Arabidopsis thaliana: one gene and its partners. The protein of the gene in region 1 interacts with the protein of each later gene in a biochemical or structural test. Each region holds a gene or a part of one and is shown in the gene's direction. Other genes may lie near its edges.

Region 1 (9,119 bases):
AAAGCTAAAGCTAAAACTAAAAGCTAAAGTAGTGTGGATTTTCTAGATGCCAAGTTTCGTTTTTTGAGCCTTTTAAGCTCTTTTCTGGATTTCGTTTTTCTCGTTTCGCTCTATTCTTCGCCGAGCAAGTAATCATTGCCGACAACCCCCAGAAAAATCGTAGATTTCTTCAATCGGCGATTTAAAAAATTTGAACTTTTTCTTTAAAAGCTTTGAGCTCTTTTTTCTTCGGATTATTTTCAAAATGGGTCTGTGTTATTCAGTAGATAGGACTACTGGGAAGGAACCTGGAGAAGCAAGCTCCACCGCCACTACGGCGGAGACTGTGGAGGAGAGATCAGGCTCCGGAAGATGGCGGCGGCCGAGAGATTTAAAGGGTGGCGGCGATATCGAAGGGATTCCACAGGTTTTGGGTCGTTTGGTTTCGAATGGTTCAAGTAAGATTGCATGTCTTTACACACAGCAAGGCAAGAAAGGGACTAACCAAGACGCCATGCTCGTCTTTGAGGTTCGTTTCTTTTATCTTTCCAAAAATTCATCTTTTTTGCAACCCATTTGGATTTTATCAATACTCAAGAGGACAATTTCAGGGTATTTTGGTGGAGAAATGTTGTTCAATGTATGAGGAAGCTACTTGATTTGTTTGGATGTGTTTTGTTACAGATCAAATGGATCTTCAGAACATGATTGCATTAATCTTTTGTTGCTAGTGCTTAGTAAGAGAGAGAGAAACTTGGAATGATTCATCACTTTTCTGGGACCATTACAAAGCTTAGTGCTTTGAAGATTGAGGTGGCTTTGTTTTGCCATTTGTGTTGTTCTTGTGCTGTCTTGAGTCTTTGACCTGTTTCTACAGGGACCACTAGTTACTTGACACTTAGATTCTATTTCTGCTTACTTCCTTTTGTGTTACATTCACATATCAAGACAAGTTTCTAACTTATGAAAACTACTTCACTTTCCAGAACTTTTGTTCGAGAGACGATACAGTGTTTTGTGGTGTATTCGATGGACATGGACCATTTGGTCATATGGTTGCCAAGAAAGTCCGAGATACATTGCCCTTCACACTCTTAACCCAGTTGAAAATGACCTCAGAGTCAGATCAAAGCAGCTTAGTTGGTGCCAATGGTTTTCAGATCAAATGTACAGAGGAAGAAGAAGTGCAGACAACTGAGTCTGAACAAGTGCAGAAAACTGAGTCTGTTACTACTATGGATGAGCAATGGTGTGAGTTAAATCCAAATGTGAACAACGATGAACTTCCGGAGATGTATCTGCCTCTTAAACATGCGATGCTCAAGTCTTGTCAGCAGATAGATAAAGAGCTGAAAATGCATCCAACTATTGATTGCTTCTGCAGCGGAACAACTTCAGTCACTTTGATCAAGCAGGTTCTCAGCTTAGATCTGCTTGTAACCAAAAGACCATCATCGATTGTATATTAATTGCTGTAATTGTTCATAATGATTTCTTTTAGGGTGAGGATTTGGTGGTTGGAAATATTGGTGACTCGAGAGCCGTTCTTGCCACAAGAGACGAAGACAATGCTTTGCTCGCTGTACAATTAACTATAGACTTAAAACCGGATTTGCCAGGTACTTTATTACAAACCATGATATTAAACTCTGAGAGAAGCCAGAGGCAAAAGTTTCTCAACTTTCGCTTTCTATGTGTACTGTCAGGTGAATCAGCGAGAATCCAGAAATGTAAAGGAAGAGTCTTTGCATTGCAAGACGAGCCTGAGGTAGCTCGTGTATGGTTACCAAACAGTGATTCACCTGGTTTAGCAATGGCTCGAGCTTTTGGAGACTTTTGTCTCAAAGATTACGGATTAATCTCTGTTCCAGATATCAACTATCGCCGCCTAACGGAACGAGACCAATTCATTATTCTTGCTAGCGACGGGGTAAATTAAATCTTCAGTTACTAGCCACTAAATTGCAAACATTTTCCAAATCTTTAGAGCTGAAAAATGTTGTGTTTTCTGAATTGTATTAAAGGTATGGGATGTGTTGTCGAACAAAGAAGCTGTTGATATCGTTGCCTCAGCTCCTAGTAGAAGCACAGCGGCTCGAGCTCTAGTGGACACAGCGGTACGATCATGGAGAATCAAGTACCCAACTTCCAAGAACGATGACTGTACAGTAGTCTGTCTCTTTCTACAAGATTCATCAGTAGCCATGGAAGTCTCAACCAATGTAAAGAAGGATTCACCCAAAGAAGAGTCTATAGAGAGTGTCACTAACAGCACAAGCAAGGAGGAGGATGAGATTGTCCCCGTTAAAGACGAGAAAATCCCTGAGAGTTGCGGGATTGAGTCGAAAATGATGACAATGACACTTGCGGAATGTATCTCGGTTGCACAAGATGATGAAGAGTGGTCTGCTTTGGAAGGATTGACGAGGGTTAACAGTCTCTTGAGCATTCCAAGGTTTTTATCTGGTGAGCTCAGATCAACTAGTTGGAGAAAATGGTTGTGACTTTTTTTTGACTTAAGTGATTCTAAGTTAATGCCGACAAAAACACTTCATATCACGATGTTCCAACTTTTTTTCTTCTTCTCTTGGAAGTGATTTGCAGATATATAATCTTTCTTGTTTAAATTAGTCTTTCAGACATGTGAGAGATTGGTCATGTTAGCTGTAGATAAAGATCATAGTGAATTGGATCTTTTCTTGGATACTCTCTGTCTTTATATTTAATTAACTCTTATTACTACATGTTAGACACTTGGAAATTGAAGGAAGTGGCTTTTACGTTTTAATTATTTATTTTTGTTTTTGGAGATGGTTGGGTTTTTGGGAACTTTTTTTTTTATGGGTTCCACTATATTCTCTGTCTATTCTCAGCATAATGATCAAAGAAGGTTGCTTTGATTACAAAACAGAGCTTAACGGTAACCTAAGTTTACATCATTAATTTTGTAGTGGCTATTTGAAAGAAATTATTTTCTCCTTATTTGGAGATGTAACACTCAAGTGCTTTAATAACTAAAGTGCTTTGAAAAAAAGACACATGAACCGTTAAATTGACTTCGAAGAGAAGGAAAATTGATTGAAACCAACTTTTCTTGGTGTCACTCGTGTTCCTATTGGCACAATTCTCAGTACACATTTTTTTTGATGAGACAATTATGAATCTTGTCTCATAAGGAAGCTACTTTAATCTGTTTCTTCTTTCTCTATGATTTCACTTAAATATCAAACTTCAAGAACTCATGTCTCTTGAGGAACAATATGGTGGGTTCCAACACCGTAACCGCTACATCGCGGTTGCTCTTGATCTGTTTTGCTTACTCATTCACTGTCTTCTCAATGATTTCATCAGTGACTGATCCTCGTGATGGTATGTGATGACTTATGTTTTTTCCTTGCGTTGAATACGTTCGTGGAAATGATTGTAATTTACTTGTTTTGTTGCCTTTTATTAGCGGCGGCTCTGCGTTCTTTGATGGATCAATGGGACAATACGCCGCCTAGTTGGGGAGGTTCTGATGATCCTTGTGGAACTCCTTGGGAAGGTGTATCTTGCAATAACTCCAGAATCACTGCTTTGTGAGTGTTCCTTAATCATTCACTCGTGTTTCTGTACACATGTGTGAAAAAGAACAAAAAATTAGAGCACTTCTCTTACTAATTTTGGTAACGTACTGAGCAAGCAAGTCTTTTGTGTTCAGGGGTTTGTCAACAATGGGTCTCAAAGGAAGACTTAGTGGAGATATTGGAGAACTAGCTGAACTAAGATCATTGTCAGTCTCTTTAGATGAATCATCGATGAATACAAGAGAAAAACATCTTCTTTTTTTTCTGACCTGAATTGGCGACTTTGTGTTGTTTCAGGGATCTTTCCTTTAATCGAGGACTAACAGGTTCACTTACTTCTCGGTTAGGAGACCTGCAAAAGCTAAATATCCTGTAAGAATCTCTCCCGCGCAAACAAGCTAAAAGTGATCTCGTAGTTCTTGTTCTTTCTCTTCCTTGTGTACATATCTAAACAGTTGTATTGGTCTTTTCAGTATTCTTGCTGGTTGTGGCTTCACTGGTACCATCCCAAATGAGCTTGGCTATCTCAAAGATCTATCTTTCTTGTAAGAAAATAGCATTTTGCAGTGTTTGATATTGTCCTCAAACCAACTCATGTTTGATGAGACTTGCCACTTTGGTTCCACCATGTTTTCTCAGGGCCTTGAACTCGAACAACTTCACGGGTAAAATCCCGGCGTCTCTAGGAAATCTCACTAAGGTTTATTGGCTGGATCTTGCGGATAATCAGTTGACAGGACCCATTCCAATTTCATCAGGCTCAAGTCCTGGTCTTGATCTTCTTTTGAAAGCCAAACACTTGTGAGTAATTTTATTTTCTCTGCAGACATCTTCTTCAGCTTCAAGTACCTTTCTTCTGATGCAAATGTTATAAAAACTGCAGTCATTTCAACAAGAATCAGCTCTCTGGGACCATTCCACCAAAACTTTTCAGCTCTGAGATGATACTGATCCATGTGTAAGTCAAATACACTTCTAATAATATTACATATTTGTCAAGCTTACGGTAACTCATCGCAACAGATTTATTTCAATATTAGATTATTCGATGGAAATCGATTCACAGGAAGCATACCTTCCACTTTAGGACTCATTCAGACACTAGAGGTTCTGTGAGTAACATATCATCACTATGTCCTTAGTTTCATGTATCTTCCCTATCTTCAAAAAGATATAACTCTTGTATTTGCAACAGTCGGCTTGACAGAAACACTTTGACCGGAAAAGTTCCAGAGAATCTCAGTAATCTCACAAACATCATTGAACTGTAAGTGTTGCCAGAGTTATGATATTACTATATAGATCATATTAGACATCACTTATGAATGTATACATCTTTTTTTCTGTCTCTCAGGAACTTAGCTCACAACAAGCTCGTTGGATCATTACCAGATTTGTCAGACATGAAGTCCATGAACTACGTGTAAATTTCTCACCAACAGAGAACGTCTTTATCTACATTTATGCGTTTGTGTTCTCTGATTAAATGTGATGTCTGTTACAGAGATCTCAGCAATAACTCATTTGATCCATCAGAGTCTCCTCTCTGGTTCTCAACCTTACCTTCACTGACCACACTGTAAGTGCTGCTCTGCTACAGTTTACAAATCAGAACATTCACATATGGGAGCTCTCTAAATATGTTACTATTTTCTTGTATTTAGTGTGATGGAATATGGATCTCTTCAAGGACCACTACCTAATAAGCTCTTTGGGTTCCCACAGCTTCAACAAGTGTAAGTTTCAGCTTTTAGTCTCCACTGAAATTTGGTTACAGCTTTAGACATCATCTAATTGCTGAATTGGATTTGCACAGGAGACTGAAGAAGAACGCATTCAATGGAACACTGAGCTTGGGAGACACAGTAGGTCCAGAGCTCCAACTTGTTGATCTACAAGACAACGACATATCCTCTGTAACACTAAGCTCTGGATATACCAATACATTAATGTACATAGCTTCTTTCTTCTTAAATGTTCAATCAAACTGTCTATATCAACCTATTAAAGAAGCTCTCTCTTGTTGCAGACTCGAAGGAAATCCTGTATGCACAACAGCTCTCTCCAACACAAACTACTGTCAGATTCAGCAGCAACAAGTCAAACGAATATACTCGACCAGTCTTGCTAACTGTGGAGGAAAGTCTTGTCCATTAGACCAAAAGGTCAGCCCTCAGAGCTGTGAATGCGCCTACCCTTATGAAGGCACACTCTACTTCCGAGGGCCTATGTTCAGAGACCTGTCCAATGTGAACACATACCATTCTTTGGAGATGAGCTTGTGGGTGAAATTAGGACTCACTCCAGGCTCGGTCTCTCTACAAAACCCTTTCTTCAACAATGATGATTATCTTCAGATACAGTTGGCACTTTTCCCACCTATGGGCAAGTATTTTAACAGAACTGAAGTTCAGAGAATTGGATTTGACTTGAGTAACCAAACATATAAACCTCCTCCTTTGTTTGGACCTTACTACTTCATTGCATCTCCCTACACATTCCCAGGTAACATTACATACGAAGCTTATACACCTTTTTGGAGTTAAACACATCGTCTAACAATCGAATAATTTTTGGCAGCTGATGGTAACGGACATTCCTTGAGCTCTCGGATGGTCACTGGGATAATAACTGGTTGCAGTGCTTTGGTCCTGTGCCTTGTTGCGTTAGGAATATACGCAATGTGGCAGAAGAGACGTGCAGAGCAAGCTATCGGTTTGAGTAGACCATTTGGTAAGTCCGATGTTCTAACAGGTGAAGTTATCTTAGAAACACTACCATTTTAGATTCTCTGAGGTTCACCTGAAAAAAAAGAAACTCTACATTAACTTACATGATAGATTTACTGTTAAGTAGAAGACTGACAATGATATTTTGATTCACTCAGTTTCATGGGCATCAAGTGGAAAAGACAGCGGTGGCGCACCGCAGCTGAAAGGGGCACGATGGTTCTCCTACGAAGAACTCAAGAAGATCACGAACAATTTCTCTGTGAGCAGTGAGCTGGGTTATGGAGGTTATGGAAAGGTGGGTTTTTGAAAGATCGATCTTGAAACTATCTAGGGCTTCACTTTCAGGGTTTGACAAGTAACGCTCCTCTGTTTCTCTCTGTAATCTCCGCAGGTGTATAAAGGAATGCTTCAAGATGGGCACATGGTGGCGATCAAAAGAGCACAACAAGGATCAACACAAGGAGGGCTCGAGTTCAAAACAGAGATTGAGTTGCTTTCTCGAGTTCATCACAAGAACCTAGTTGGGCTTGTCGGGTTCTGCTTCGAGCAAGGCGAGCAGATTCTAGTCTACGAATACATGTCCAACGGATCACTAAAAGATAGCTTAACCGGTACTGAAAAATCTGGCCTTTAGGTGCTCAATAAATCACAAACACAAAACTTGACCATTACGTATTGTTTTTAGGGCGATCCGGAATTACGCTGGATTGGAAAAGAAGGCTGAGAGTGGCTCTAGGATCGGCAAGAGGACTCGCATACCTCCATGAACTGGCGGATCCTCCGATCATCCACAGGGACGTGAAATCAACTAACATTCTTTTGGATGAGAATCTGACAGCCAAGGTTGCTGATTTTGGTTTGTCCAAGCTGGTTTCAGACTGCACCAAAGGCCATGTTTCAACACAAGTTAAAGGAACATTGGTAAGTTTTAGATAAATCAACGAGTCATATTGCTTTCAATTTTTAGGAACTTTTGTTTCTGATGATTCAATGGCAGGGATATTTGGACCCAGAGTACTACACAACACAGAAACTTACAGAGAAGAGTGATGTGTACAGCTTCGGTGTTGTAATGATGGAGCTGATCACAGCGAAACAGCCGATAGAGAAAGGCAAGTACATTGTTAGAGAGATCAAGCTTGTAATGAACAAGAGCGACGATGACTTCTACGGACTGAGAGATAAGATGGATCGTTCGTTAAGAGACGTCGGAACTCTGCCAGAGCTCGGCCGGTATATGGAACTAGCCCTGAAATGCGTAGATGAGACGGCAGATGAGAGGCCAACGATGAGTGAAGTGGTCAAGGAGATTGAGATTATCATCCAGAATAGTGGGGCGAGTAGTAGCTCCTCTGCATCTGCGTCGTCATCCGCTACAGATTTTGGTGAGAAGCTTTTGTACGGAGGTACTTTGAAGAAGAAAGAAGCAAGAGACGGAGATGGAGGCGGAGCGTTTGATTATAGTGGTGGCTACTCTGTTCCGACCAAAATTGAGCCCAAGTAAATATCAACATCTCTTGTGAGATTATTTGTCGTTACTTTTTGTATGAATGAATGGAAAAGTCATATTGATGAAAACTTGTGCGAGTATTGTTGACCTGAAACACTGTGAGGCTAGGCCCATTAGTAAATCGTGATTACTAAAAGAAAATCTTAGTAGTTGGGCCAAATAAATTAGAACTGTAAACTGTCCATGTATAGACGTCATTTGCCTTTTCAGCCCAAAAACGGTAGCGTATTAACATGAGCCACCACTGCCACTGGACATATACACATTTAGCCCATGTTTTTAGTAATCGTGTTTATTAGTAATTGGGCTCAAGTAAATCAGAGTAGTTGATATTATTAGGCCCATAAAAGCCCAAAACGGAAAGCCACCTGAGAAGCAGTGGGGACGCAGATTCCTATAAAAAGCAAAATGCGTCCTCGGAAAGGAAGAAGAAGAAGAAGTCTATCTCACGAGTTCCCGTTTCGTGAATTTCTCTCTCTCTGTGTGAACAAAGACGAAGAAGACGAAGTAACACTGATAGAAACCCTAGTTTTTTTTTTAAATCCGTCGAGGCGTAATGTCGTCGGAGCTGCAGATTTCGCCGGCGATTCACGACCCGCAAGGTCAAGAGAAGCAGCAGCAAGCCGCCGGAGTCGGGATTTTGCTTCAGATCATGATGCTTGTCCTCTCTTTTGTACTCGGTCATGTCCTTCGCCGTCATAAGTTCTATTATCTACCTGAAGCTAGTGCTTCTCTTCTAATTGGTTTGTCTTCTTCTTACTCCTCCTTTGCATTGCGATCGTCCTTTTCGTTTTCCATCGATTGTTTTGTTTGATTCCTTGTGAAATTTGTGGAATTGTAGGGCTGATCGTTGGTGGTTTAGCGAACATCTCGAACACGGAGACTAGCATAAGGTTCGTTGAACTTTTTCTCATCAGTTTTTTTAGTATTTTCTCAATTATTTATTACTATTTTTATGTCCTTTCCTCCATTGACCTGGAAACTCAAACGATTGTAAATTACTCACTGATTACATACACGAATACATGTTTATATGTGTGTAAGTGTTCTTCAATGCTAATCTATTTTGTTTCTTCTGCAGGACATGGTTCAATTTCCACGATGAGTTCTTCTTTCTGTTTCTGCTGCCTCCCATCATATTATATCCTTAAAATCGAGTTTGTATCTGCCTTTAGTTTTACTTACGCCTCTGTGTAACATAATCTTTTCAATGAATCTCAACTAGGCAACAAAATATGTTGTTTTCCTTGACGTACTTGTTTGCACCCAGTCAGGCTTCAGTTTACAACCTGTAAGTGCAGAGACCCTCATGTCTTTATTGCTTTTCTTGTT
Region 2 (7,895 bases), on another chromosome or scaffold:
TGAAAGAGAAGCTCTTTTCACTGAATTTTGAGGAAGAAGTTGATGACAAAATGAGTAACAGTTTCCAAAAGAAGAGCTCATGCCACAAAGAACCTCAAAGCAAAGGAGGCAAGAAGAATAACAACAATAGCAGTAGCAGCAAGTTGAGGAGAGAATCAATGGCATCTTCAGCATCAGAATACTCCATTGGCTCTTTTTCTTACGGAAGTTTCACAACATACGAGAAGATACCCATCAAAAGTGTGAGTACCATCAATCAATGATCACGTAAAGTACACGTTTTGCATCGTTTTAGTACTAACCCATTTTATATATTCACAGGGTAGAGAAGAAGAGGAGATGATTACACCAGTGAGACGTTCAAGCCGGATTAAGAACAACAAACCTTCTGGTTCTGGTCTATGATAAAGAGATAGACATTTCATTTCAATCATTGCATCACTATGCAATCTTTTTAGTTTCCTAAGAATTAGAATTAGCTTTATGACTCCTTAAAATCTTCTGATTTGTACCAAACTAGTTGTGATTCAATCCAAAGTTTGTTTCTTTGTGTCAGTCTCAGTCGTTTAAAGTAAAAGAAGAAACAAAAGCATGAGACTTTTTTTTTTTTTTTGGTAACAAAGCATGAGACTAAACATCACAAGACTCAATTTCTCCAGCTTCCTCCTTCAGATCGCCCCTGACCACCGTAACCTCCGTCTCCATAACCACCTTCACGACGATCACCTCCATAACCACCACCGTATCCACCTCCACCGCCACGGTTGTAACCACCTTGATCACGTCTACCTCTGTAACCACCACTTCCGTAACCACCAACCATACCACCGCGAGTACCACTACCACGAGCCTGAGCCTAGTTAACAGTAATGTTACGACCATCAAGTTCTTGACCATTCATTCTATCGATCGCAGTCCTCATGGAATCCTCATCTTTAAAAGTCACAAATCTAAACCCCTTAGACCTCCCGGTCTCACGATCAATGATGATCTGATCCAATCCATAAACCATATAAAGTCGAGATTTTTATGATACAAAGAGAGAAACAGAGCAACACAAAAACAGAGTCACACTTTAACGGACCTTGGAGTCGAAAACTTCACCAAACTCGTTGAAACACCTCTCTATAGACTGTTCATCGGTGGCCCAAGCTAAACCTCCGACGAAGCATCGATACTCGTTGTCTGCATAAGCCACGTCCAAAGATTTGAGGAAGATGATGACGACGACGGTTCTATATAGAAGCGCGAAACCATGGTTACGTTGATTCGGTGCTTAACATGCATTCAGAAATATGATTAGAACTGTGACCAAAACACTCTCTTGGACGCATGATTTGTGCCACGTCACCAGAATCGAAATAATCTTGCTCTGATCCGATGGTTTAGATTTGACGGCTTATTTTGTATGTGTGGGGTCTCACGAAGAGGACATGTGTTAGTTATATGATCTTGAACTGGAAAACACAGATACAAACAACATTTGTACTTTCGGACACGTTGGATTTATTTAATAGCGATGCGGGATATGTAACAAAAATTAGGTAGTGATGTAAATTTGTTATCCGACGAAAGATGAATAGTTCATTGCTTTTTCTTCCCGAACAAATATCCTCAATTATGACTTAACTAGCTCGAGGTTAGAGAAAACTTTTCTATGGAAATAACAGTAATTGGAACGATTAATAAAATCATATACGCAACTGTAGCATATGAAAATTAATAAACAGTTTAAGAAAATTTCACATCACTTGTTCATATATTTTGAGAAAACTTTTGAGAAATTTTTAGCTCAAGAAAAATTCATCTCTATTAATGTCTACTTAATCACTATTTTCTAAATAAACCATAGTGAGACTTTGAACTAACATAATCATTCATTTTTCAAGTAAAATTAAATAAAAAAACTAAATATTTTCATTCGATTGGCATTGTTTAAATTGAACATTCTACAATAGAGAATTTGTTTCTATCAATTTTAAACTAAACATATATCAAATTTTTGGATCATATCAAAAAAGCTAGAAAATTCAATATCATTGTTTTTTAAAAAGAATACTTCAACATCTTTACAAAATCCTATAACCGATAAATATTTCATCCAATATTTTGAAAGAAAGTTGCCAACATTTCACATGTTTTTCTAGTTGATAATTTTCTATTGTACTGTATATGATTATATGTTGTAATAAATTGTTTAAAATGCAAATGATTACAGCGGTTGAGACGGACAAATACTATGCAGATTAAACCGCTTTTAATTTACCAATCATAAATTAGAATCTATAATAATATATACTAAGAAAACTGCCGTAAACCAATCATAAACCATTTTTACATACAAATAAGATTGATCCACAACGATTTATTATCTACTTGAAAATAAAACACACTTATATTATCGATGAATTTATCTATTCTGATTGCCGTTACCATTCGAACCAAAAAATTCAGAGTATTTAGAAAATTTTAGCAAGAAAAGAAAAAGATTCCTTTATTCGGCCAAGAATGGTGAATATAGGACGTGAGATATATTACTCCTTATATATCCGAACATTAAATTTACAACAATAATAAAACAGGAAAGAAGGAAAGAAAAAATCCCAAATAGTAATTGCGGCAACAGCTTAGCTGGCTTATGGCGGGATTACCGGGAAAGTCAAACCAAACATTAAAACGACGTCACTTTACCCCACACTAGGTTTTAATTTAATCTAATTTCAAAATTATTAATTAATCAGATTTGTAATTAATAATAAATTAATTTCGAAGTTTCTTGCAAAGACGAGAGAGAGAGGAGTGTCACAGTCTACAGTTGTTATCTCAACAATCTCGATCTTCTTCTTCTTCTTCTTTCTTTCTCTCTCTAAAGATTTTTTTCACTCAACAAATCACTTTTTGTTTTGTCTGATTTTAAGGATTAGTGAAAAATTTCTACTTTTTCTTCTCATAAATTAGGATTTAGAGAGAGAGAGAGAAAGAGAAAGAGAGGTGCTTTAATGTCTGTGAAGGTAGGAGCTGTAATTGGATCCAGTAACAGAGCAAACCCAGTTCGATATCTGTCTCTTTCTTCCTCTCTAAAGATCGAAAGACGTTATTTTTATTAGGGTTGTTGAATTGGGTATTTTGCTTAAATCCTGAAAAAAATAGTCTCTGTCTCTCTCTGGGTTTGGGTGATGAGTGTTGATGGGTCATTGGATTGAGTTTGATAAGCAATGGTTGATCAAAGAAGAAGCGCATTGGGTTTTGTCTTGTTGTTGTTGTGTTTGGTACTGTTCTTCGACTGTGTTGTTGTTGGTCAAACACAGAGTCGATTCAGTGAGAAACTCATTTTGCTTAATCTCAGGTCTTCTTTAGGGTTAAGAGGAACAGATTGGCCAATTAAAGGTGACCCTTGTGTTGATTGGAGAGGTATACAATGTGAGAATGGTAGTATCATTGGGATCAATATCTCTGGGTTTAGGAGAACAAGAATTGGTAAGCTAAACCCACAATTCTCTGTTGATCCTCTTCGTAATCTAACTCGTTTGTCGTATTTTAACGCGTCCGGGTTAGCGTTACCGGGGACTATACCTGAGTGGTTTGGTGTTAGTTTGTTGGCATTGGAAGTATTGGATCTTAGTTCGTGTTCTGTTAACGGTGTTGTTCCTTTTACTCTTGGTAATCTCACTAGTTTAAGAACTTTGAATCTGTCTCAGAACAGTCTTACTAGTTTAGTTCCTAGCAGTTTAGGACAGTTGTTGAATCTATCACAGCTTGATCTCTCTAGGAACTCATTCACTGGTGTTCTTCCTCAATCTTTTAGCTCTCTGAAGAATCTGTTGACTCTTGATGTTTCTTCCAATTACCTTACTGGACCTATCCCTCCTGGTTTAGGAGCGTTATCAAAGCTTATCCATCTGAACTTTTCAAGCAATAGTTTCTCGTCTCCGATTCCTTCAGAGCTTGGTGATCTTGTCAATCTGGTTGACTTTGATCTCAGCATCAATTCATTGTCTGGTTCAGTTCCTCAGGAGCTAAGAAAGTTAAGTAAGTTGCAGCTAATGGCGATTGGCGATAACCTTTTGAGTGGTACTTTACCAGTAGATTTGTTTAGTGCTGAGAGCCAACTGCAAACTTTAGTTTTGAGGGAAAATGGTTTCTCTGGTAGTCTACCTGATGTGTGCTGGTCGTTGCCAAAATTGCGGATTCTTGACATTGCTAAGAACAACTTCACAGGACTGCTGCCATATTCTAGTTATGATTCAGACCAGATAGCTGAAATGGTTGATATCTCTTCGAACACATTCTATGGAGAGCTCACACCGATTCTTAGACGGTTCAGGATAATGGACCTCTCTGGTAATTATTTCGAAGGTAAGCTTCCTGATTATGTGACCGGGGAAAATGTGTCTGTTACAAGCAATTGCCTTCGAAATGAGAGGAGACAGAAGCCGTCAGCAATATGTGCAGCATTCTATAAGTCTAGAGGATTAGATTTTGATGATTTCGGACGTCCTAATTTGACACAACCGACATCGAAAAATGCTTCTTCAGGGATAAGCCGCAGAACAGTAATTATATTGGCAGCAGTGGGTGGTGGAGTTGCTTTTATTCTTCTTTTTGTTATCTTGCCAATTATTCTGGTTCTATGCATGCGCCATAGACGCAGAGCGGCACAAAGAGGAAATAACGACAGGCCAAAACCTGCCGGGGAAGCTTCACAACAACCACCTAAAGGAGCACAAACCTTTGATTTGTCACGTCTTGGAAATGCATTTTCTTATGAGCAGCTTCTTCAGGCAACAGAGGAATTCAATGATGCTAATCTGATAAAACGTGGTCATTCGGGGAATCTGTTTCGTGGTTTCTTGGAAAATGGTATACCCGTTGTTATAAAAAAGATCGATGTGCGGGAAGGTAAAAGTGAAGGCTATATATCAGAACTGGAGTTGTTTAGTAAGGCTGGACACCAGAGGCTGGTTCCCTTTTTGGGACACTGCTTGGAGAATGAGAGCCAAAAGTTCTTGGTATACAAGTTTATGAGACACGGTGATTTGGCTAGCTCTTTGTTCAGGAAATCCGAAAACGAAGGTGATGGATTGAAGTCTTTGGATTGGATAACAAGGTTGAAAATTGCTCTTGGTGCAGCTGAGGGACTCTCTTATTTGCATCATGAGTGTTCACCGCCTCTAGTTCATAGGTACTACTCTCCTGCTCAGCTTCTCGTAATATAATCTTGATATTTTTTAAAGCATTGACATAGCAAGACTATTGGAAGTTGTTTTGTTGATTCTGTTTTTAGTATCATATAACCTTTCATGTTCATAATTAGTAAGATCTATTCAAGAATTGTTAGTGTATAGTTTCATAGATGGAGAAGCCCAATGACATCACCTGCTCCTAAATTACTTCTTGTTGATCTATGCTCTATTGCCTGATAAGAAGAAAAGCGAGAGAACTCATGTGTGTGTTTGTGTTCAATGTTAAATAGGGATGTACAAGCAAGTAGCATACTTCTTGATGATAAATTTGAGGTACGTCTTGGAAGCCTAAGCGAGGCATATGCTCAAGGTGATGCTTATCAAAGCAGAATTTCTCGTTTACTTCGATTACCGCAGTAAGTGCTTATTACATTAACAAACTCTCTGGTCCTTTTCTGTTTTACTTTGATTCCCTAACATGACTCTGTATGTTGTCTTGGCACCTACTAATGCTTCGCTGTCTCTTCTTTTCCTATTCTTGCAGATCGAGTGAACCATCTTCTTCAGGTATACACTTAGGAGAATAAAAATTTCATCAGGATATACCATCTCCGATTAACCGATAGACATCTGATTGGTTTATTCTTTTCAGGTGTAACAAATGCAATATGTTCGTATGATGTCTACTGCTTTGGCAAAGTGTTACTTGAGCTAGTAACGGGGAAGCTCGGGATTAGCTCGCCAGACAACGCACTTGCAAAAGAGTACATGGAAGAAGCTTTGCCATACATCAGCACAAACGAGAAAGAACTAGTAACCAAGATCTTAGACCCGTCATTAATGGTGGACGAAGACCTTCTAGAAGAAGTATGGGCAATGGCTATCATTGCAAAGTCATGCCTAAACCCAAAACCAACAAGAAGACCATTAATGAGACACATTGTGAACGCACTTGAGAACCCACTGAAAGTAGTAAGAGAAGATACCAACTCGGGTTCAGGCTCTTCCCGGTTAAGAACAAACTCGTCGAGAGGGTCTTGGAACGCTGCTATATTTGGGAGCTGGAGGCAGAGTGCGTCGGATGTAACAGCTGTTCAAGCGGGAGCAACAACAAGCGGTGGTGGTGGTGGTGGTGGTGGTAATGGTTTGAGAAACTCGGGGTCGCAAGGAAGTAGCGGAAGGAACAATAACAACAACGGGAATTCATCGTCGTCGAGAAGACGGCAATCTAGTGAGATTGTACCGGAACCTGCTGCTTATGGAGTAGTAGAGGATAATTTATGATTCGTTTCATCGATTCTTTTGTGTCGATAATAACAGAGGCAAAGAGAGTCCTCAAAGGTAGCATAATGTTAGATGGGAGGAGGATTTGTTTTTTCTTTCTTTTGTTTTGTTTTTGGGTTTAGGATTGGTGGGAGTTAGAAATGTTAGTTCACTCTTTGTTTTTGTTTTTTGGTTCAAACGTGGATTTTGTAAATTGTAAAATTCTTGGAGATTGGGTTTTGTTTTCGGTTTCTTTCTTATTGAAAGACCAGAAAACAAAACAAAACAAAAAAGTTGGGTTACATTTGTTTCAGTTCCACCATTACTTATTATTCTTGTATCTGATTTCGTACGTGTGAATTTTGTTGACTATTTCATTTGCACGTGGCAAGCTTTTGATATGTATTTGGACAAAAAGTGAAAGGAAAGATACTTCTTCCTTTTGTTGGATCTGATTTCGTACGTGTGAATATTGTTGACTAGTTCATTCGCACGTGGGAAGCTTTTGATTCATATTGGGACAAAAAGTAAAAATAAAGGTTCTACCGAGAATTGAACTCGGGTTACTGGATTCAGAGTCCAATGTCCTAACCGCTAGACCATAGAACCATTATGTTTAGAGACGTAAACTTATAATATATATACGTATGAACCAAAATGTTGAAGTTGTAGGATTTTTGGTCTGAGTTACCTGTAATTATATTTAATTATTTCATACACTGAACTTAATTTGAAAATTACAACATTACAAACAAAAATTGAAATTCTAATGAGTTACTTTTGCCAAATCTATCATGGTTAGAAACTTAGAATGATTAAATAGCTAAACTATATCCCAATATATAAGATGTTCTTATGTATTTTATTTTTGTCCATTATATTAAAACTTAAAATAAATTTTCATATTTTCTAATCATTTCTGTTATATGCAATATTTGCCACGATTGGTTGAATTGTTTTAAATAAATAAATAATATTTTGTAAAGAACATAAGTTTCTTAATATATGTGATTTAACTAAAACATCTTATAAGAAATTGGACAGCGGAATATTATTTTCTTGGGTTATTTTTGCCAATTCTCATTGATTTAATAAGTTGGTTGTTAATTGGCTATTTGACAGATTATTCCATACCAAACAAAATTTGAAAGAAATCTCCAAAAATATGATTAATACTGTAAACAATGGGGAAACCCATGCAAAGAAGTCAGCAAGTGGGTTGTAGTAAAATCAGCACATGTGATTATGAGCTTTGGGATTCTGCATAAACTTCTGTTCACTAACCAATTAATTATACTATATTACTCCCAACCCTTACACTAACTTATTACTCTTTTACATTTCAAATCTCACTTCCTCCACATTCCTCTGTCTTCATGGCTCTCTCCATCCTCTTCCTTCTCCTCTTCATTCTCTTCTCTATTTCGCCGTCAAATGCACAGTCGTTTA
Region 3 (7,556 bases), on another chromosome or scaffold:
AATATAAATAAATAAAGCACATGAAAAGACCTTGTAATTTTTTCTCTAAGAAATGTGATACATTTGATGTATAATATTTTATACTAAATCGTATTGATTGAGGTGGAACATTATGGTCTATCATTAGAAACCAATGAATCGAGTGACGAACTATACGGAAATGGCATACAGTTGTCAACTATATGAAGAGTTGAAATTATTTACACAATAATCAAATACTTATCTTATTTTCATATGATGCTTGACACAAGCATATAAGTTTTTCACAAAAGAATTTGATTAACAATTATTGTTCTTCACAAATTTTTGTATATTTGTAATCATGAGCTTATATACTGTCTTCTGTTTTCTATCATGGACACTACTTCGTTTTGTCTTCCCGTGTTAGGTGAGACAGAAGAATTTATTTTTTTATATATTTGAATTCTCTGAATTTGAAATATGATCTTTTCAGCTGGTGGAATTTTTTGAAGTGGCGAGCTTATCATTTTCTGAATATGACAAAAAAAAGTCTTATTTACTGTAGTTATAAATAGTTTAACTAATTAACACAAATGCGAATCGAAAATTTGATATATGTGACGACGAAACAACTAAACTAGTACAGTATAATCATATAATTAAAGATTTGATGCATTTGAAAATGTACGCGTTTGATAGCATATCATAATTAATTTGCACGCCTATATGACATATAGCGTTTGGACCAATTTTAGATGTAATAAATCAAAGAACACATCGAACACACATAAGTTCGATTTTCAACGTCTAAATTTACGAGAAGCAAAACAAAATTATGTATAATAATAAAAAGACTAATATTACCACTCACAATTAGACACGATATATAGCAAAACAAGATACATAGTTTTGCTCAAAAACAAAACATGGATGATAATCAGTAAAATGCGGTGCCTACCAAGTACCAACATACAATTATAATGATTATTGATAAATTTTTGAAGTTTTTGTAACAATATACGAAACATCGTACTCATGCATTCAAACAAAAATGGGACAGGCTGGGTTAGATAACGTGTGAGGGATGGATTTCTCTAGAGACGAAGCCAAATATAAGGCGTGACTTTAAATGATATCACACTACTGTTTCATCTTATAACAAATCAAAAGAGATGAACTAGTGATGTAATTCTATAAAATTTACCACTTAGATGTACTGTGTATCGGCTAATTAATTGGTCATAAACTATTACTTTCAAATGAGTTCTACGTACTATTACTATAGTTTAAAAGTAAAGTAAAATCATATTCAATCAACTTAGGAACTCAAATTAATATTGTCTAATTAACACAATGTCATCATCATATAGAGATTTGACTGCACTAATTAAGTTATCATGGACACTTTCTTTCTGAAAATTCTCATTTTCTCACTCAAATAATAATTTCATTCTATAAATAGATAATGAAATACACACACATCTATCATCCACCAAAAATATCATCCACCACTACCCACGAAGTAAGAAAATTACAGAGAAAACGGAATATCTTTTAAGTAGACCTTAGCCTTTTGCTTTATTCTCTTGCTTTATGTCTTTCTTGTTTCTGTAAATTCACATGTTACACTTAGAGGAGAGCGAGGTGTTGGTCCATTTTACCTTTTGCTATGATCAGATATAGAAGATAGCAAAAACATTAACTCAAGACAAGTTCACATGTTTGTAAAATTTTACGTAAATTTGTTTATTAATTGTGTTAGAAAAATGTTCACATGTTGCTACTATTGACTTGCCTCCATCATCTTCTTTGTCCCATTTGATGTACTCTTAGCCCCATGCCTCTTGGATGCCTTTTTTACCTTTTAATTTGTTCTTATATAATATAAAATATTAGCTACCCTTTTTTTTGTTATTCATGGAACAATTATTTGCATCAAATATAGTAATTTAATGGAATAATATCAAGAAGATCCCATTTATCTTTGTACCTTATTCTCCATGTGAACATATAAAGCTTGTTATCAGGTTATTTGTACATGTAATATCTAAGGGTGTTTACTGATGATGATCGGATAAACTCGAGGTTTGATTTAGTCAAATATAGTTCTTTTCTAACTAAAATCCCAACCTCACAATTTTGATGTTTTTCAGTAAATATGGTCATTAATAAGTTATGAATTCGCTAATTAATAGAAATTTATAAGAAAACATATATCCAACATTTATGGATATATGAAAAGTTAAAAACAAATGATATAAAAAGTACAATTTTATAGCTGGTGCACTGAAAAAGAAACAACTTTTCTTACCATTAAATCCAGGGAGAATGGTATCATTTTCAATTTTGAAAAAAAGCTAAGATTCGCCTAACTATTATTGTTTTCCTCTGAAAAGACTTTAAAAGTAATCTTTACCGTATAAAGTACAGAAAATGAAATGAACTCGTGGACTTCAATGTTTTCAATTTTCATGAGTCTTTTGTTTTCCTTCAATTTCCAAATAAACTTATATATATATACTAATCAATCAAAAACAATCCACTCAAAATGTGAAACTATACATGTAGAATACTTGATGTAACATGAACAAACAATCAAAATATTGTAGTTAAAAAAATTTACTGTTGATTTTGATCAGTAATATGTGTAATTAAAAAGTGATAAAAAGTCAAGTGGTTTAAAATTATCATAAGAGTAACATATGGACTATGGTTCAAATACTTTCATTGCAATAACAATTATGTATAGTTAGCTACTATATGAATGTCTTAATACATTGCAATAACTTACATTGGAGATTAGTCTATATACATTTATATATTAAAAAATTAGAGTTGTGATCTATATAGTTCTCTATGTTATCATTTTACATTTTCATAGTTGAACTAACTTTTTATTATTATTATGTTCACGATATCTATACTTTTGTGGTTTAAGCTTTTCTTAGTATTAACAATCAAGAACTACTATTTTATAAATACAATGGACAAGATTTTTTCTTCAAAACCACAAGAGAGAGTCATTTTCATTTTCTTCCTCATCTCTCTCTCTCTCTTCTCTCCAACCAAACATGGTCTCTCCACTCACACTCTTTCTCATCCTCTTCTTCTTCTTCCTTTCTTCTGCACTGTCTTCCTCCTCCTCAGAGCTCGACATTCTCCTCGATATCAAATCCTCTCTCGACCCTGAAAAACGTTTCCTCACTTCATGGACTCCCGACGCCGACCCTTGCTCCTCTGGCTCCTTCGACGGTGTCGCGTGCGACGGAAACCGCCGTGTTGCTAACATCTCTCTTCAAGGAATGGGTCTCACTGGAACTATCCCTCCTTCAATCGGTCTTCTCACAAGCTTAACCGGTTTATACCTTCACTTCAACTCCTTGACCGGTCATATTCCTAAAGATATCTCAAATCTGCCTCTCCTCACCGATTTATACCTCAATGTCAACAATCTCTCCGGTGAAATCCCTCCTCTAATCGGGAACTTAGACAATCTTCAAGGTCGGTCTATTTATGCATGTGTTCTTTGTTAACCTCACTCACTATAATTCATTTATTGCAGCTAAAACACCTTAAGCGGGTCAAATTTGGTTTATTAAAACTTAGCTAAAAAGAGTTTAGGTCTTGAATGGTGTAGATTTTAGTTTTTTTTTTTAATCATCCATTCAAGTTTTTAGATTTTTGAGTCTCCTAGAAACTAGGGATACTCTCTATTGTCTCCTTCATCTTTCACTCTTTTTTATGCAAAACTCAAAAACAATTTTATTTGGGGTTTTGAAACTAAAATGTAAAACTCAACAAAAATAAGGGCAAATATAATTGCATCTATATATTCATAACACTTTTTTTTTTTTTTTTGCAGTTATACAGTTATGTTACAACAAGTTAAGTGGAAGTATACCGACACAGTTTGGTTCTCTTAAGAAGATAACTGTCTTGGCTTTACAGTATAACCAACTCTCCGGCGCCATTCCGGCGAGTTTAGGCGATATTGATACGTTAACGAGGCTTGATTTGAGCTTCAACAACCTCTTTGGTCCTGTTCCGGTGAAACTCGCCGGTGCTCCTTTGCTTGAAGTTCTCGACATTCGTAATAACTCCTTCTCCGGCTTCGTTCCCTCTGGTAATAATTTATTTTCCCTCAAGATTCATAAATTCTTCAGATTCTAAACCGGTTCAGTGTTGACCAATCCGATTAAACAGAACCGGGAACCAATCCAAAACCGGATCGTGGAGAACTTAAACCATATCAATTCTAAACCGGTTTTTACAACCACATTAAAGATGTTTTGCTGACTTGTTTGTTTCTTGATTTTTATGAATTATGAAGCTTTGAAGAGGCTAAACAATGGATTCCAGTATTCAAACAATCACGGTTTATGCGGAGATGGTTTCACTGATTTGAAAGCTTGCACCGGCTTAAACGGTCCGAACCCTAACCGACCAGACCCAACAAACCCAACGAATTTCACAACAGTTGACGTGAAACCAGAATCAGCAGATTTACAACGAAGCAATTGCAGTAACAACAATGGCGGGTGTTCATCAAAATCCTTAAAGTCTTCACCTTTAGGAATCGTCATGGGTCTAATAGGATCAATCCTCGCAGTTGCAATCTTTGGCGGTTCAACATTCACATGGTACAGACGAAGGAAACAGAAGATTGGAAGCAGTCTTGATGCAATGGACGGTAGGATTAGTACTGAGTACAACTTCAAAGAAGTTTCTAGAAGAAAAAGCTCTTCTCCATTGATCAGCTTAGAGTACGCAAGTGGTTGGGATCCGTTAGGACGAGGACAGAGCAGTAACAACAACAGTGCATTGTCTCAAGAAGTCTTTGAGAGCTTTATGTTCAATCTTGAGGAGATTGAGAGAGCTACTCAGAGCTTCTCTGAGATTAACTTGTTGGGGAAGAGTAATGTCTCTTCAGTTTATAAAGGTATCCTTAGAGATGGTTCTGTTGCAGCTATCAAATGTATAGCTAAATCGAGCTGTAAATCCGATGAATCCGAGTTTCTCAAAGGGTTGAAGATGCTGACACTGTTGAAGCATGAGAATTTAGCGAGGTTGAGAGGATTCTGCTGCTCGAAAGGACGTGGAGAATGTTTCCTTATCTATGAGTTTGTTCCCAATGGTAATCTTTTGCAGTATCTTGATGTGAAGGATGAGACTGGAGAGGTTCTTGAATGGGCAACTCGAGTTTCCATCATAAACGGAATCGCCAGAGGTTGGATTCTGCTATTCATTCTTTCGTAAACTAAACTCGGTTTTTTGTATGTGAAATCTGATTTCTTTTTTTTCTTCCTTTCAGGGATTGTGTACTTGCATGGAGAAAATGGGAACAAACCTGCAATAGTTCACCAGAATCTATCTGCAGAGAAGATTCTCATTGATCACTGGTATAATCCTTCTCTTGCAGATTCCGGTCTTCACAAGCTTTTCACAGATGATATCGTTTTCTCGAAGCTCAAAGCAAGTGCGGCAATGGGATACTTAGCTCCTGAGTACATAACTACAGGGAGGTTCACTGATAAGAGCGATGTTTATGCATTTGGTATGATTCTGTTGCAGATACTGAGTGGTAAAAGCAAAATCAGCCATTTGATGATCTTACAAGCTGTAGAGTCAGGAAGACTGAATGAAGACTTCATGGATCCAAATCTTCGAAAGAACTTCCCGGAAGTAGAAGCGGCTCAGCTCGCTAGACTTGGTCTTCTCTGCACTCATGAATCCTCAAACCAAAGACCATCCATGGAAGATGTTATCCAAGAACTGAATAATCTCGCCGCGGATTATTAGTTTCCCGTTTAACATGATTCTTGCTTTTGATAGTCCAAGAATATAAAGCATACCAAGGTTTCAGACTATCACCATTCCCCTGATGTTAACTCTGTTTTAGGTTCAGTATAGGGGATCCGAAAAACTCGGTTCATGATGTAACAATCTTATCTCCTTGTAACTGTAGCTGATGTACTTAGGCTGTAAAAACAATCACTTTTCAGACGTTTTAAGTGATCTTGTGGGAAGTTTTTTTCCAGACATATCTTAGCTGCACAAAACCAACCATGTGACATTGTCTTCATGTATGCCAAGGAATTGCAGAATAGGTTTAAGCCCTTGAAAATATATTGCTGCACATTCGTTTTATCTACAATGTACTGGAAACTTCAATGCTATCTACAAAGAACTCATGGACTCTTCCATCGAGCTCAATCCAACTACAACCAGGAATTTTCTCTATCTTTCTTTCCTTCATCATCGTTCTAACTCTACGAACATCCTTCCACATTCCAAAACTAGCATACATGTTAGAGAGTAGCACATATGAGCTCGGGTTATATCCAGCCTGCAAAATAAGGTGTTTTGCGACAAGCTCTCCCGTTTCAAACTCCTTGTGGTGACTACAAGCGGTGAGAAACGTTCTCCATATGACATCATTTGGCTCAACAGGCATTTCCTCTATTAAGTTTTTGGCTAGCTCTATACTTCCGGATCTCGATAGTATGTCTACCATACAACCATAGTGTTGCAATCTTGGTTCTATCTTGTGTTTTCTCCTCATGAGCTCAAAGCAGAGAAGGCCTTCCTTTACTAACCCAGAGTGGCTGCAAGCATTTAAAACGCCAACAAAGGTGATATCGTCTGGTTTTAAAGAGAGTCTCTCAATCTGCAAGAGCATATCGAATGCAGATTCCCCTAGACCATGAATAGCGAGCCCACCAATCATAGCATTCCAGTGATCAATGCTTTTGTTTTCGATTCCCTCGAAAACCAACATGGCGTGTTGTATGCTTCCGCATTTCGAATACATATCAATGAGAGCAACACCGAGTTTTCCACCTAGATAGAATTGTTTCTCCACGATGTACAAATGCATATCTATGGCTTTGGATAATCGGCCAAGCTGAGCAATTGCAGGCAGAACTATTACCAAAGTCGTATCATCGGGTAACAAGTGACTCTCCTTTTCCATGTCACTAAATATTTCAAGAGCTTCCATGTGATACTTGTTTTGAACATAACCAGCCATCATAGAATTATATGCCACAACATCTCTATGAGGCATTTGGTCAAACAGAGTCTTAGCGTGATGAACAAAACCTAACTTTGCATACCCATCAATCATGGTAGCCCAAGTAACTACATCTCTTCTCGGCATCACATCGAATAAACCCTTAGCATCTTCGATTCTTCCGTGTTTTACATATCCATCTATCATTGAGTTCCACGAAATCAAGTCCTTCTCAGGCATATCAGCAAACAGTTTAGACGCTATGTCAACTCCATCTGATGTCTGAGCATAACCACTTATCATAGAGTTCCAAGATATCAAATTCTTCATCTCCATAGGCATCAAATCGAACAATTCACGCGCGGATACAATCAATCCACATTTGACATACCCATCAATCATGGAATTATAAGAAACAGAGTCTCTCTTCGGCATTCTATCAAACATCTGGCGTGATAAACCTAAACAACCACATTTCAGATACAAGCCAATCAAACAATTCTGTAGAAACAAATCCGACCAAAGTCCAGTTTTTTTCAAAAACCCATGAATCTGCATTCCTCCTTTTACAAAACCTAACCTC
Region 4 (7,292 bases), on another chromosome or scaffold:
TAGATACATTTTATAATTATCCAAAAACAAAGAGAAAAAAAATGAGAAGTAAACAAAACAAAACCTGGGAAGGATAAGGAGGATGGGCCCGTCTCAATCGCGGAGCGAATTGCGCGGCTCTCTTGTCAATGTATATATTGATGTGAACACTTTTTAAATATTTTTACAAAACACTTATAAAAAAAACGAAAATGTTGTTTTGTAAAAATATTACAAAACAAAATCCAAATAAAATTTAATTATATACTAGTCAGCAAGCAGAATCGTACAGCTGAGATTGAAAGCTCTCTGCTAAAATGGGCCACTAAAAGTTTATTTTTTGGCTATTGGTGGGTCTCACTTGTTACACTGACGTTACGGTGACACTGAAGGACAACCACTGACGCCAGACAGGCAACACCTGGCATATATGTGGATTTATACGCTGACCTGGCAGTGTTGACTCCTTGTTTTAAATGACACGTCATCTGAGTGTGAAAGAGACAGACGTCGCGTGAATTTTGCGGGACTTTTTTTAACTCCCTAGACCGCGTGTGAAGTGTACGCTCCGGTGAATGGTGAGGCCCATCGTTAGTTTTGGTCGTGTTGCATTTAATTCGTTTCATAATGTTCTTTTGTAGACTTTAGTGGTGAATTTAATTATTTTGTAAGGTGCGATGACTTTCTTGACAGTGGAAATTTTTTCACGTTTTCACAAACATGCATGATTGTTTATTTTCAGTTCGATGATTAGTGACCTGTATTTTAAGTGACAGTGAACAGGAATCTCGTTTTTCACCACAGTTAATTGGGATGCGATTCTTGTTATCTAAGTTAGAATCGTGGATGCGATGATGAAGTTTGTATTTTCTATTGATATTGTTTTACCCAAACCCAAGAGTCGAGAATGAATTTTTATGTCGTTGCTATTTATTCTGAACTTATGTCGTAAATGTTGGGATCAATAATTTAAGGTGACCGAGTCGTGACCCACATGAGTGTCGAGTGATTATTACAGCTTCGGTGAAAACGAGTGAAAAGTGAAAACGCAAACATTATTTTTAGGATCTTCTCTTTTGCTCACGAAGAATTGTAGTACTATTAGATAATCTCATAATCCTGAATGAGTGTTTTTAGTGGGATCACAATCCGAAATGACTATTTAAGCGTTAAGATTCAAAACAACTTCACATATATATAACCTTCAATGACTTCAATTTAATATATAGTTTGAAATTTAGTGTGAAAATCAAAATAATCGAACCTCGTTAATATTTTTAGTTTCATTCATGTTAAGTAATTCAAGCCAATTTTCCTTTTATAGTTTCTCTGCATGCAAATTTATATTTAAAGTGCGTGCATGTTGCATCACTTCAGTAATATGGTAGAATGCAAATTCGTTAACCGTCTCTATAGTTCATGACTTCATGATAGCATAAGAGATAAAATGAATTCAGGGATTTATGTGTAATCATTAAGGAATGAGAAAGTCACATAAAGCATGTAAAATAATTTTTGGGTCGTTATTTTTTTTTACTACGATGAATCTCTGCTCTCTTTTATATATTTTAGTCATGACTGAATAATGACAGGCAATTTTAATAATTTAAGATAAGTATGCGGTATGCCATGATCGGTAGACGGTAGCTCAATACAATTCCGACACAGAAACTAGTTTTTTTTTGGGTATTTGATAATGGGCCTTTTAGCAATTTTCTAAAGCCCAAATTTATTATTCTTGCTTCACGCAATATTGTTTAAAGCCCAATTTAGAGAACATGATTTCCATTCCGAATTCGTCGCCCAGTCACTTATTAGATTAATAGATTGCATTGCATTGCTTGTGCTTTCAATTTACAAATTGTCTCCCAACTCCATCGACACATCTCTTTTTGTGTATATAAGATTCAGACTTGTTATATTTTTTTTATAAATATGTTATTAGCATCTTAAGTTAAATTGATTTTTTATATCTGCATTAAGGATTACACGACTATATTTGCGATTGTGTGTTGGTTAAAATATAATTTAGGATTGTCTTTAACTACATTTAGGATTATATGACTATATTTGGTTAAATATAAAATCTAGCTGTGATTATTAGTATTCAAAAATAAGTAGCCTAACCAATTAAAACAACGGCTATTGGGGCAAATTAGAACATTTTAGTGTGTCCAAAATATAATGGTCATTAGGTCATATTCCTCCTAGCTTCATCGCAGCATAATTGAATGATTGCCTTATTTAGAAGAGCTTTTCCACTTTCCCAAAATCTATGTGGGATCTTTTTGTTTTGACCTTCATTTTTCTTGTTTACCATTTTTAGCTAAATTATTTACGATTACAAAAGATATCAAAAGTTGGATCATAATACAATTTATAGACTTACTGTAGAAAATTCGTATGTACAAGTACAACAAATTCTTCATAATAAATTTTGAAAATTCTATTACAAATGTTGTAAGAAATAGAATTTGAAATATATATAAACTAAGGAGAAAAAAAAAGAGAACATGCATTGCTCTAGTCAGAGTGGACCAACATCAACGAGATAAGATAACATAAAAACCAACTCACCATAACTAAAAACATCCCAAGAGATCCAACGATTCATATCAAACACAAAAACATCGAACGATCAGATTTAAACCATCTCTGGTATCTCCAAAACACAAACACTTTTTTTTTTCTTTTGTCTGAATGGAACAAAAGCATGCGACATCTCTGTGTCTTTATCTTCTCTCTCCTCTTCTTGAAAAACTGAACCTTTAATTCTTTCTTCACATCTCCTTTAGCTTTCTGAAGCTGCTATCTTCAAGCTCAAAACCAAACCCTAGAAATAAAATGACGGCGACACAAATGCTGCTTCATCTTCTTCTTCTTCCACTTCTCTTCCTTCACTTCAGCAACCAAGTCATGGCAGAAATCACCGACGAGTTAGCGACATTGATGGAGGTTAAAACAGAGCTTGACCCAGAAGACAAACACTTAGCTTCATGGAGTGTTAATGGAGATCTGTGTAAAGACTTTGAAGGTGTTGGTTGTGACTGGAAAGGACGAGTTTCTAACATATCTCTACAAGGGAAAGGCTTATCTGGTAAAATCTCTCCGAACATTGGAAAGCTTAAACATTTGACGGGTTTGTTCTTGCACTACAATGCTCTTGTTGGAGATATTCCTAGAGAACTTGGTAACTTGTCGGAACTTACGGATCTTTATCTCAATGTTAATAATCTCTCCGGTGAGATTCCTTCAAACATTGGGAAGATGCAAGGCTTGCAAGGTTAGTTCTTTTTTACTTTAATTTTAATCTTAATCATTGATTAAACTTAAAACCTAAATTTAGCATTGTTAGATCTTTGGTTTCTGCAAAATTCTTGTCCCAAGATTAATCAATGTTCTGTGGAGATTTGAAACCTAGAAATCTGAGCTCCTTGTCTTAGGGGTTTTAGTTACTTCATTACTATCTCTGGTAGTTGAAATTATTTGAATTAGATGATTTTGGAATTTAATGCTTTAATGATCTGTCTTTAAAACGTCCTTTTCATGTCTTTTTGTTAGGATTTTTCTTTTTGTAATTTTCCTGTAAGGAAGAATAGTCAAGAACTTTTTAAGATTCAAACTTTTAATTGGAACCATAAATGGCTTACTGGTCCCAAAATATGGACTTGAATTGAAGATAACTTGTACTTCTCTTGATTAATTTTGTTTATTTAGATAATTGATTCACTTACTTTCAAAAGGCTTTATATTTGAGCTTTAATTAGCAGGACCAGGTTTCTAAATCTAGAATTAGTTCTAAGTTAATGTAAGTCAAAGCTAAGCTTCATTCCTTTTTTGGTCTATGTTGTTGTGTAGTTTTGCAGCTCTGTTACAACAATTTGACTGGAAGCATTCCTAGGGAGCTTAGTTCACTGAGGAAGCTGAGTGTTCTTGCTCTTCAATCTAACAAACTCACTGGAGCTATACCTGCGAGTTTAGGAGATTTAAGTGCTCTAGAGCGGCTAGATTTGAGCTACAATCATTTGTTTGGTTCTGTACCAGGCAAGTTAGCTAGCCCTCCTCTGCTTCGAGTTCTCGACATCCGCAACAACTCCCTCACTGGCAATGTACCTCCTGGTTAGAAAACTGATTCACTATATGATCTTTGAAACTAACTTTGCGTATTTTGTGAAGTGTTTCTCATTTTGGTTTATATTTCTTTCTCTGTTGTACCGATTTGACAGTACTGAAGAGATTAAATGAAGGTTTTTCGTTTGAAAACAACTTGGGACTATGTGGAGCTGAGTTCTCGCCGTTGAAATCTTGCAATGGCACAGCTCCTGAGGAACCTAAGCCATACGGTGCAACCGTGTTTGGTTTTCCATCCCGGGATATACCAGAATCAGCTAATCTACGGTCACCTTGTAATGGAACAAACTGTAATACTCCTCCAAAATCTCACCAAGGTGCAATCCTTATTGGTTTGGTTGTCTCGACTATTGCATTGTCTGCTATTAGCATCCTCTTGTTCACGCATTATCGCAGACGCAAACAGAAGCTTTCAACCACTTATGAAATGTCGGACAACCGTCTCAACACCGTAGGAGGAGGTTTTAGGAAGAACAATGGTTCTCCATTGGCCAGTCTTGAATATACTAATGGTTGGGATCCACTTTCAGACAATAGGAATCTCAGTGTCTTTGCTCAAGAAGTTATCCAGAGCTTTCGATTCAATCTTGAAGAGGTTGAAACTGCTACACAGTATTTCTCAGAAGTGAATTTGCTTGGAAGAAGCAACTTCTCTGCGACTTACAAAGGAATCTTGAGAGATGGTTCTGCTGTAGCGATCAAACGGTTTAGTAAAACAAGTTGCAAATCTGAAGAACCTGAGTTCTTGAAAGGACTCAACATGTTGGCGTCTCTGAAACATGAAAACTTGTCAAAACTTAGAGGCTTCTGCTGTTCAAGAGGCCGTGGAGAATGTTTTCTCATCTATGATTTTGCTCCTAATGGAAATTTACTGAGCTATCTTGATCTCAAAGATGGTGATGCGCATGTTCTTGATTGGTCCACGAGAGTATCCATTGCTAAAGGCATCGCAAAAGGTATGAGTTTTATTTATGCCGAACCAATTTTGTTAGCGTTCTTGATTCATTTTTGTTTATGTGTTTGATGTTTTGTGTTTAGGGATTGCTTATCTACATTCATACAAAGGAAGCAAGCCAGCATTGGTTCACCAAAACATCTCAGCGGAGAAAGTTCTAATCGACCAGCGATACAGTCCTCTACTCTCAAACTCAGGCCTCCACACACTTCTCACAAACGACATTGTCTTCTCTGCACTCAAAGACAGTGCAGCAATGGGCTACCTCGCTCCAGAATACACCACAACCGGACGTTTCACCGAGAAAACCGATGTCTACGCTTTCGGGATTCTTGTGTTTCAGATAATCTCCGGGAAACAGAAGGTTAGGCATCTTGTTAAGCTTGGAACTGAAGCTTGTAGGTTCAATGATTACATAGATCCAAATCTTCAAGGAAGATTCTTTGAATATGAAGCCACAAAGCTAGCTAGAATCGCGTGGCTATGCACTCATGAATCTCCCATTGAAAGACCATCCGTGGAAGCTGTAGTTCATGAGCTAGGTAACTGTAGTAGCTGTCTCTGAGAACTCTCTCGAGGCAAATGTGTAATGTGTACCTTAGGAATCAATTAAGGAAGGGTTTGTTAGTCACCTTTTCCTGTGTTTAGGGTTAAGAAAAAGGTGCCTTTTCCCTTCCCATTAACGTTTAAAAACTGTTCAACGTGTTGTACTTTATTGGTTTGTATGATTTGTGTTTATGTTAAGCTCTTCAACCTTAGAAGAAGACAAGACAAGTACATTACTTTTAAAAAATTTCGGTAGATGGAAAATATTTATGGTACTTTGTCTTCTTTTTTTTTTATAACTTTCTGAACCAATTTATTGTCAATAATTCAATATAGAAAAAAAATAACGTATAACATTTTTTTTTCTGATATTGATCAAATCAATATCAAAAGAATTGATTTGTTAGATGGTTTTGATTTAGATTTGGATATGAGCTTTAACTTTTAAGTCTTTATTAGTCATCTAGATCTAGATACAAATTTATAAATATAAAGTCAAAGGTTAACTATTAGCATTGGCCACCAGATTCGAATAATTTACATGATTTTTCTAGACTTCAGGATTAGATTTTGGACCTAGTAAATTTTTAGAATTACTTGAGTTATTTGAAAGAAATAAATTAAATTATTAGTTGTCCACAAAAGACAGAAAAAAATATCAAATTATACTTTTCATTGGTCAAAAAAGGATTATACCAAATATCTAAGGAAGGAAGATATTGTTGATATAGCTAATTAATCAGTAACTAATCCTAACCGTCCATTTCTCCTCAAACCGCTTGATCTAACGGTAGCAAAAGGCTTCGATCACATAACACCATTTGTTTCCATAGAAACGAACGAGTCGTGGAGATTTATAAGCGAGACTTCTTCTTCTTCTTCTTCTTCTTCGAAAGCTTGAGAGTGCTGCGTAAAAATGGGTAATACGTATTGTATCTTAGGAGGTTGTATTGAACAAGCTAGCGTTGGTGTGGTCGAACGTTGGGGTCGATTCGAGCATATAGCTGAACCGGGATGTCATTTCTTCAACCCTCTCGCCGGTCAATGGCTCGCCGGAGTTCTCTCCACTAGGATCAAATCTCTTGATGTCAAAATTGAAACCAAAACTAAGGTTCGTGATCACTTATTCCTTTTGATCCTTTGCGAATTTTGGTTAATACTGTATGTGGTGAGATTCATGTAAATTAGGCTTATTGTCGTTGTTGTTTGTAGGATAATGTGTTTGTGCAGCTGGTTTGTTCGATTCAGTATCGTGTAGTGAAAGCTAGTGCTGATGATGCGTTTTATGAGCTTCAAAACCCTAAAGAGCAGATCCAAGCTTATGTCTTTGATGGTAATTTTTTTGCTTCTCTGTTGATGTTTTTTGTTTCTTTGTTTGAAGAAGCTCTGTTTTGATTCTTGATTTGTTCTTGTATGTTTGTTTTTTGAATCATAGTGGTTAGGGCTTTGGTCCCAATGATGACGCTTGATGCTCTTTTTGAACAAAAGGGTGAAGTTGCCAAGTCTGTTCTTGAGGAGCTTGAGAAGGTATAACATCTTGTTCCTTCACTATCTCATTCATTTGTATGTTTAGAGACTATTTATTCATAATAGGATATAAGATATCTGTTTTGAGATTCTTGATGTTTTGTAGTGATCCTGCATTTGTTGAGCTAACTAATAGGTGGATTATCAAGTAGGC

The links.
Region 2: the proteins of AT1G79620 (region 1) and AT2G16250 form a complex in vitro, tested with the Arabidopsis thaliana proteins (one large-scale study listed by BioGRID).
Region 3: the proteins of AT1G79620 (region 1) and AT2G45340 form a complex in vitro, tested with the Arabidopsis thaliana proteins (one large-scale study listed by BioGRID).
Region 4: the proteins of AT1G79620 (region 1) and AT5G51560 form a complex in vitro, tested with the Arabidopsis thaliana proteins (one large-scale study listed by BioGRID).

The regions. Positions count from the first base shown.
Region 1 is NC_003070.9:29,956,295-29,965,413, reverse strand, and holds AT1G79620 (Leucine-rich repeat protein kinase family protein), read left to right. Parts: upstream 1-3,108; 5' UTR 3,109-3,239; coding exon 3,240-3,348; intron 3,349-3,433; coding exon 3,434-3,557; intron 3,558-3,679; coding exon 3,680-3,751; intron 3,752-3,842; coding exon 3,843-3,917; intron 3,918-4,018; coding exon 4,019-4,090; intron 4,091-4,184; coding exon 4,185-4,346; intron 4,347-4,428; coding exon 4,429-4,503; intron 4,504-4,585; coding exon 4,586-4,657; intron 4,658-4,740; coding exon 4,741-4,812; intron 4,813-4,899; coding exon 4,900-4,968; intron 4,969-5,049; coding exon 5,050-5,124; intron 5,125-5,209; coding exon 5,210-5,281; intron 5,282-5,361; coding exon 5,362-6,050; intron 6,051-6,125; coding exon 6,126-6,278; intron 6,279-6,432; coding exon 6,433-6,572; coding exon of another isoform or gene 6,573-6,584; exon of another isoform or gene 6,585-6,668; coding exon 6,669-6,888; coding exon of another isoform or gene 6,889-6,911; exon of another isoform or gene 6,912-6,962; coding exon 6,963-7,198; coding exon of another isoform or gene 7,199-7,213; exon of another isoform or gene 7,214-7,274; coding exon 7,275-7,781; and 2 more. Other genes in the region: AT1G79630 (Protein phosphatase 2C family protein), read left to right, coding at 245-508, 966-1,394, 1,481-1,598, 1,686-1,909, 2,004-2,483; NHX6 (Na+/H+ antiporter 6), read left to right, coding at 8,344-8,530, 8,629-8,680, 8,869-8,928, 9,054-9,078.
Region 2 is NC_003071.7:7,038,254-7,046,148, reverse strand, and holds AT2G16250 (Leucine-rich repeat protein kinase family protein), read left to right. Parts: upstream 1-2,794; 5' UTR 2,795-3,215; coding exon 3,216-5,182; intron 5,183-5,473; coding exon 5,474-5,599; coding exon of another isoform or gene 5,600-5,603; exon of another isoform or gene 5,604-5,727; coding exon 5,728-5,750; exon of another isoform or gene 5,751-5,835; coding exon 5,836-6,467; downstream 6,468-7,895. Other genes in the region: AT2G16270 (uncharacterized protein), read left to right, coding at 1-242, 322-405; AT2G16230 (O-Glycosyl hydrolases family 17 protein), read left to right, coding at 7,823-7,895.
Region 3 is NC_003071.7:18,688,707-18,696,262, forward strand, and holds AT2G45340 (Leucine-rich repeat protein kinase family protein), read left to right. Parts: upstream 1-2,957; 5' UTR 2,958-3,032; coding exon 3,033-3,462; intron 3,463-3,823; coding exon 3,824-4,084; intron 4,085-4,291; coding exon 4,292-5,188; intron 5,189-5,272; coding exon 5,273-5,760; 3' UTR 5,761-6,019; downstream 6,020-7,556. Other genes in the region: CRR4 (Pentatricopeptide repeat (PPR) superfamily protein), read right to left, coding at 6,110-7,556.
Region 4 is NC_003076.8:20,942,984-20,950,275, forward strand, and holds AT5G51560 (Leucine-rich repeat protein kinase family protein), read left to right. Parts: upstream 1-2,692; 5' UTR 2,693-2,823; coding exon 2,824-3,262; intron 3,263-3,837; coding exon 3,838-4,098; intron 4,099-4,205; coding exon 4,206-5,066; intron 5,067-5,148; coding exon 5,149-5,630; 3' UTR 5,631-5,956; downstream 5,957-7,292. Other genes in the region: AT5G51570 (SPFH/Band 7/PHB domain-containing membrane-associated protein family), read left to right, coding at 6,528-6,722, 6,824-6,944, 7,047-7,138.